Linked DNA regions of Caenorhabditis elegans. The protein of the gene in region 1 binds, or shares a complex with, the protein of each later gene. Each region holds a gene or a part of one and is shown on either strand. Other genes may lie near its edges.

Region 1 (3,758 bases):
CGAACCGGATGAGCCCAACGGCTTGTCGATTTTCCATGGAATCCATCGTCGGCGAGAAGATCGGCTCTTTGAGCTGACAACTTGTTCCACACATTTTGCATATTTCCGAGAAGAGTTGTCAATCTTGGCATCAGAGAGAATACGGTCATTGTTTTCTCTTCCTTTTCGAAACTATCAGTGAACTCAGCAGCATATCGATCAATGGTTTTGAGCTTTTGAGCAAGCAAGTTAGCTTCCTTCAAAATTTCAAAATTCGGTTGAAGTGTTCCGTCTTGCACTTTTTCGAGATAGGCAACGATTAGCTGAAAATTATTTTTTTGTAAAAAAAATTAAAGGCGGAGTAGTCGAAATTGTTTTATTGCTTTATTAGACTCAAAATTGTCTGAAAACACCGAATTTCATAATGAAACTTCTTGAAAATTTCTCAATAAAAAGTTATGACGGCTCAAAAAATGGCCTAAAATTAGTTAAAATTTGAAATTTGACCGTCTTGCAATGTTGCAGCGGCTGGAAACAATTTTTTTTTTTGAAAGCACCGTCAAATTTTGAGCATACAATGTCATTATCTTGCGTTTTTAACTCGATTTGGGTACTTTAAAGTCGATGGACGGCGAGATTTCGTAAAAAAAAAATTAAAAATATCGCCGTCCATCGGCTTTAAAATACATAAATGAAGTTGAAAACGCAAGATATTTAAATTTTATACTCAAAATTAGATGGAGATTTCAAAAAATTAGTTTCCAGCCGCTTGACAAGTCGGTCAAATTTCAAATTTTAACTACATTTAGGCTATTTTTTGAGCCGTCATAACTTTTTTTTGAGACGTTTTCAAGAAGTTTCATTATGAAATTCGGTGTTTTCAGTCAATTGTGAGTCTAATAAAGCAGTAAAACTATTTCGACTATTCCACTTTAGTTTGCTGCTGTATTGATTTTCATAACGAGATTTCTCAAAATAATATTAATAAACTTTTTAAGTATGTCAAAATTTCAAAAAAAAATAAGAGCCAAAACTGTCTAAATTCTGAAATTTCGCAAACTTTTCATGTCGCAGCAGCTGTTGTTACATATTTTAGTCGTTTAGCTCGCAATTACTAGTAAATGGAGGTACTTTTTTCAAACATTTTTTCCAAAATTAGGTGTCAATCGACTGAAAATGTGTCTTAAATCAACGAATTAATGCGAGATAAGATCGAAATATGCATTTTAGCGAATTTTAGGTATTATTTTAAAATTTTTGAACCGCTAAACAGCATTTTCAGAAGTCTCATTATGAAATTTTGTCTTTTTCTGGCCTCCAATTTCTCGAACGCACATCAACCCGATTCTGAAGCATGCTCATTGCTGCATCTTGAGCCTCCGCGTGTTTCTTTCCAACTGATTTCCCGTCTTTTCCATGTTTCGTTGATAACTTAGCGATATGATTAACACCGACACGTTCACTTTCTTCCGACACTAAAATCCATTCAATTGGCTTATGCTTCTCCTGATCAGTCACGTCTGCTTCAAACGCGAAAAGTGGAAGTTTACGAGTGGTTCCAGCAGTGATAGAGTTGAGTTTAAGGAAAAGTGTCGCGTCGATTTGTCCGGCTTTCTCTGAATTGCGAACCGCATTGGTGAGTTTTGAGAGAAGAGGTTTCTCTTCGGGAGTCAGATTATCATCCTCCCCAGCACAATAAAGACCGATAACTTGGAGCTCGGGAAACACTTCCAGATCTGAAATTTGGGGAAAAAAAACTAAAATGAGCAAGAACAGAGTAAAACTGACATTGATCTGCTCTTTGAAGGAGATGCTCCGTGCTAAAAGTAACCGGCTCAGCCATTTCTTCTGTCTCCATTTTCAGAACAAATGAATTGATCGCCTCGACTTGTCGTCCATTCTGCCGTCCGAGAATTGCTCCGAACACTTTTTTCACAGTAGGACCCTGTTGGACCTTTGTTCTGGAGTAGTGTTCGGACATTTGCATAATAACCAAAGGATGCAAAAGCACCTTCGAGCTACAGCTCCCGCTTGGTGCGTTCAATGCCATTTCTGAAAATTATTTCGAAATTTGGTTTCGAAATCGGTTTTTTTGTTTCAAGCCAGATAATGATTTGGAAATTTTGAAAATATTCCTGGATTCACTGGTGGAAAAACAAGCTAAACGGGAATTTTATTGATTCACATTGACATAAGTTTTACAGAACATAAAACTTCCTACAAAAAAGAGATAATGCAATCGAGTGGAAATTATTTAGGATCCTGGAGCCTTGACGTGGCTAAGTGGTGGAAGTGGAGTTCCGTTGACCAACGAGATGAGGTTGTAGATGGCGATGACAAAGCAGATGTAGGAAAGGACCTTGGCGATCTTGCTGACAGCGACATCGAATGGTCCAGCCTCTTCGGACTTCTTTCCTTCGAGAAGAGCATTGGCGTAGGTATCAACTCTTTTCTTGAGGATTGGATCGTAGAGTCCGTACTTTCCCATGACAAGGTTTCCGCATTTGGTTCCCTCTGGCAGACGTGGAAGGATCTTTCCTCCGGCTCCGAGTTGCCACTCTCCTGGGTTCAGTGGATCGAATTGTTCGAGGGTTGGTGGGGTCTTTCCGGCGTTGGTTGGAACAGCCTGGAAGCTGGCGGTTCTCATGGAAAAGCGAGCGACGCCCAAAGTCTTTCTCAAAGCCAACGACATGATTTTCCTGAAAAATGTGTTTTAAAATGTGGAGAAAGAAATAAAGAATAAAAAAATGAAATTAAGATAAGAAAAGTGAAACGAACACTTTTTATGAACATAACAAATATAATTTGTTAAAAAGAATGAAAAGCTTTATTTATAAACAAGTATTTACAGTGGCCATGGGCACCACTAATAAAATGGAAGAGGACTGGCGTGATAAGCTCGTTTTCCACATTCCAGAACTGCATCAAACAAACGGAAAAGTCCAGTATCTCTTGGTCGCTCTAAACCTCTACGCATTCTTCTCCTCATCACAGCAACCATTTCTTCATGTGATAATTTTCCATCCAAATTGTCATCGAACAAAGTAATCACCACATCCACAACGTGATCCGATAGAGGTATTCCAGTCACTTTGACCGCAACTCGTTGAAGTAGCTTCGCATCTATCGACATTCCAGCCATTTTATGAAAGTGTAGAGCAATATCTACATCGTCAATGTGATACAAAAACTCGAAAAATGCTTTCGTCTCTCCAAAACTGATTCCTTTCAAATTTTCTCCTTTAAATCTTCGTTTAACCCGCTTCAACATATGCTTCTGTTTCTTCTCATTAATTTGAGCATGAAGAAGGAGAAGTTGAGCAAAACTATCTTCGTTGATAAGTCCATCCGGGTTATCCAGTGCATCTCTCCGTTCAAATTCCATCTTTAAAATGTCGTGTTGTAGACGCTCTTGAAACTCGATAAATTTTTCAGACGACAAGCTCCCCTTTCCGTCTTTTCCAAAGAAATATGTTTCGAGAGCGGAGTTTGTCTCGACACGGAACGACTGGTTTGGCGTTATATGATCTCGATGACGCTGTCCTACAGTTGTTTGGGACATAATAAGCTGTTGAACTTTTGTGAATTCTTCTTTATCCAGCGCACCGTTCCCATCTACATCGAAGATTTTGAATGCGAGAGCGAAATCCGCGTGAGAGGCTGGAAAAGTCAATGATATTTTGAAAGAAAAACGAGTATTAAAACTCACTTGAGAGCAGAGTCATGAGAAACAGATAATCACTGAAGTTTATGAGACCGTTCTCGCCGAGCTTGTAAAA
Region 2 (3,758 bases), 7.7 Mb from region 1:
TATGTCCATATATCGTTTGAATCTCTCATTTATGGAAATAAATTTGAAAAAATCAATCATTGAAAAGCAAAAATTTCATTCAAATAAAATGATGTTGGTGAATTTAACACAGAAAACAGGGGGACTTGATTTATAAATATAGACAAAACGAGAATTAAGCATCGGCCATCTCAACAGCGGGCTCCGGAGCAGATGGAGAAGGACCAGCCTTCTCGGGTTCAGTTGCCACGGCGATATCCATTGGAGATCCTGCAGAAGCATGGGAACATCCACAGCCACCACCAGCTTGGCGAGCAAACAATAGTTGTTTCACGAGATGAGAGATTCTTCCAGTTTCAAGTTCATCTCCGACTGCCTTTGCATCGGTCACGACTTTCATCAAAGCTTCATGTCCATCGACACTTCTGTCATTCAATTGGAGCTTCTTATCGACGGCCGACAGCTTCTGATTGATGTCTTGAATTTGATTGTTGAGGAATTCGACGTTTGAGAAGAGTGGAGAACTGCTGAGAGTGGAAATCCAATAGCTGTTCCACAGAGAAGTCAAGATGTGAGCGTCTGGAATTTTAATTATTAAAACGGGAAAGAATCGGAGATGTTTCTTTTTCAATTGAGACCAATTTCCCGTTGAGATGTTTAATATTATTATTCTTATTTTAAAAGTTTAAAATTTCAAGCTATTCGATTCCAATAAGTTTAAACAATCCAAAAAACAAAGCTTTGAATATTGGATTTTACAGTTGATTGTCCTTTATCGTATTTTTATTATGTAATTCATTCCCGATAAATATAAATTTCACCTACCAAGTTGTGATTTGAAGAAGCTGACGTCAAGCGAGTAGTATCGTTTGCAATGTACACCGAAATCCTCAATCTTTGCGAGAGGAATCGACTGATACTCTGATGGAACATCATCTGGTGGACGGTATCCTTCTGGATATGTACGGAATGCGCCAATGTCAACCTTTCCGGCAGACATAGTTCTCAATGGATCAATAACAATAGCAACCCATGGCTCTTGGAACTTTTGATTGAGTGTCTGCGTTGAGACGTCGATTCCGGATAGCCAGCATCCATATCCAGGATGAGAATGATACCATCCGACGACTTTCTCCTTTCGACCTTCCGTATCGCACATTTCAGAATAAACTGTCATGTACTCGTAGGCTTGAGCTTGGGCATTGACTCTGGAAATTTAAAATGTTCGAAATTACTCCCAGCGTAAATCATTTCACCTGGTCTCAGTACCCTCAACTGGAAGAGCGAATACATCAAGAATAATGAAAGAATTAGCATCGATTCGACCTTGCAAAAGTCCCATAATTTCCAGATTTCCACCTCTTTTCGCGTGCATTGTCATTTTCAGAAGAGCAATTGCAGATATTTTGATTTGTTTGAAATAATGTGGATCTTTATCCCATGGTTTTGCATTTCTGATTTCTACTTGCTGCTTGTTGTTGTACTCGAAAATCGAATCGACATTTTGGACCTGAAACACAAATAATATTAAAAATCTAAAAATATTTAAGAAAAACTGACGTTATTTTCTTTTTCCCAGTTTCTCTGCGGAACTGAGCTGGATGGCTTGACGTTATCAACTTCCATCGTCTGAAAAAAGCATTACCTTGCTAATATTATTAAGAAATACAATCAATAAGACGATAAGGGCATGAAAAATGATAATGAGATGATTTTACATGAAGAATTGAAACAAATTAAGTAATTCTCAGATTATAATTTTTTTAAATCGATTGAAACCAACAAAAACTAAAAAAAATCTGAAATTTGAAATGAGAAAATATCTGTTGTTATTCTAACAACGACACTCCAACTTTCCGTTGGTGCGCGTTGTTTACCGTAAACCGACACCAAGCGGATGTACTACAATTGGAAGACTTGATTTCATAGAAGAACAAATAAATAGGAGAAATGTATTAAAAATGATTATGGCGGAATAAGATATTTAAGTTTTAAATGTCCTAAAGACTGGTTATCCAGCTTGTTGCATTGTGGATCCCTTTTAGAGAAGTTGGCATTCCAGTTCAAAGGTTTTTGCTCAATTCCAGAAACATATCATCAATCTGGTGTAGTCTAGAATGTATACTACAAAATACTGAACCTCATCAATGACCCTTAAATCTTCCAGAAGAATATTCATGAATACTTGCTACTGCAAGCAAAAAGTTTTATAAAAGCCACAAGCTGAGCAAGAAAACATTTCGCAGAAAAAATGTTATCCGCAATTTTCCTGATTATCAACTCGTTGGTGACTGTTTCAGGATATTGTGTTAATTTATTCCTCCTCCACGTGGCAATATTTCATAGTCCGTCTATTATAAGAACATTCTCAATTGTCATTATTAACATGGCATTCACTAATTTTGGAGCATGTCTTAGTGGATTTCTGATTGGACAACGAGTTATTCCAGCTGGGAAACAATTATTTTATATTTCCTATGGAATTTGCTCAAATTTAGGAGAACAGTTTTGTTTTGATATGTGAGTTTGACGTGGAAAAAAAAATGAATGTCAATGGAAAAATGTTCCCGTTTCAAGAAGTTTTTGAAACAGAAGAAATTTGAAAAACAATTATATGTAGGTAGATCAAATTGTTACTGCCCTATTTTTATATTTATCTTAACATTATTTAAACGAGGTTTGGACGGGTTTAGTAAGATGAAAAATTTTTTAAATGGGAGAGGGCTAAATTTAAAAAAAATTAAGTCTTGAACTATAGAAAAACAATAAAAATGGATCATTGTCAAAAGGAATTTTTAAAAATCCTTTAAATCGATGAAAAAAATTAAAATCTAAACATACACTTAAGAAATGTATAGAGTGTTTAAAAATTTCAGTCAGAGTTTCGGCAAATTGCCAAATTTTTTTTGCGAAACTTTTCCCTTTTTGAGAAATTTCATGGATCTCTGCAGGTTTGAAATTTTAGAATTTATAAAATTAATTAATAATTTCGAAAACTCAAAGAAAAATTTATTTTTGGTAAACATCCAAAATTACGATTGCTGAAGCCTAGGACATCAATTAAAAATTAGTTCCAAAAAGTTTTTGAAAAATTTAACTAAAAGCAGTTTGAAATATTTTTCCATTATAGTATATATTTTTCCACATATTTTAGCAAATTAAATCCATCGAAATTAATAAAAAAAAGGTTTCCCCAACAAAGATAGTTTAAAAAAACAGTCTCCACCCACTTATAGGCTCTCTTATGCGCCTGAATCAAACTTTTTTCTTGCATAGGTTTCAATGACAGAATACTCCAATTTTTTAAATCTCCAAAAAAACTTTTTCCAGATTCGGAGCCCTTCTACATTTCCACACTCATGCTCTTTGTCTCATTTTTCTATCTTTTGCATACCGTTTTTATGTGATGAAACATCAAGAGATCTCCCGATGTATTCTTCAAGTTCTCATATTTCTCATCTACATTCCATCATTTATACAATTAATTGCAATGCTCTTTTTTCAAGATACCAATTTTGCAGAAATTCGAATTTTATTCATAGAATCTCTTCCACAACACAACATAACAGATCTTACTGTAACTGGAGCTGTGGATATATTTCAATTCAGTACACCTATTACAATTGGAATTCGTGTTTTAGAAAGGAAAATATTGAAATTATTGATGTTAAGAAGAGTGGATTTGTCACAGAAAACGAGAAACTTTGCACGCTCAATTACTCCGGGTTAGTGTTTCGGAAAACTACATAGAATTCTAAAACTTAGTTTTGAAAAATATC

The links. The genes of interacting proteins can lie anywhere in the genome.
Region 2: csn-6 (region 1) and csn-5 share a complex: the UniProt entries of both Caenorhabditis elegans proteins name them as parts of the CSN complex.

The regions. Positions count from the first base shown.
Region 1 is NC_003282.8:13,299,101-13,302,858, reverse strand, and holds the start of csn-6 (COP9 signalosome complex subunit 6), read right to left. Parts: upstream 2,036-3,758; 5' UTR 2,030-2,035; coding exon 1,768-2,029; intron 1,716-1,767; coding exon 1,315-1,715; intron 303-1,314; coding exon 1-302. Other genes in the region: kdp-1 (KASH (Klarsicht/ANC-1/Syne Homology) Domain Protein), read right to left, coding at 2,234-2,671; micu-1 (Calcium uptake protein 1 homolog, mitochondrial), read right to left, coding at 2,846-3,639, 3,689-3,758. UniProt on the Caenorhabditis elegans protein: Component of the COP9 signalosome complex (CSN), a complex involved in various cellular and developmental processes.
Region 2 is NC_003282.8:5,647,383-5,651,140, reverse strand, and holds csn-5 (COP9 signalosome complex subunit 5), read right to left. Parts: upstream 1,609-3,758; 5' UTR 1,606-1,608; coding exon 1,540-1,605; intron 1,490-1,539; coding exon 1,236-1,489; intron 1,188-1,235; coding exon 805-1,187; intron 559-804; coding exon 155-558; 3' UTR 62-154; downstream 1-61. UniProt on the Caenorhabditis elegans protein: Probable protease subunit of the COP9 signalosome complex (CSN), a complex involved in various cellular and developmental processes.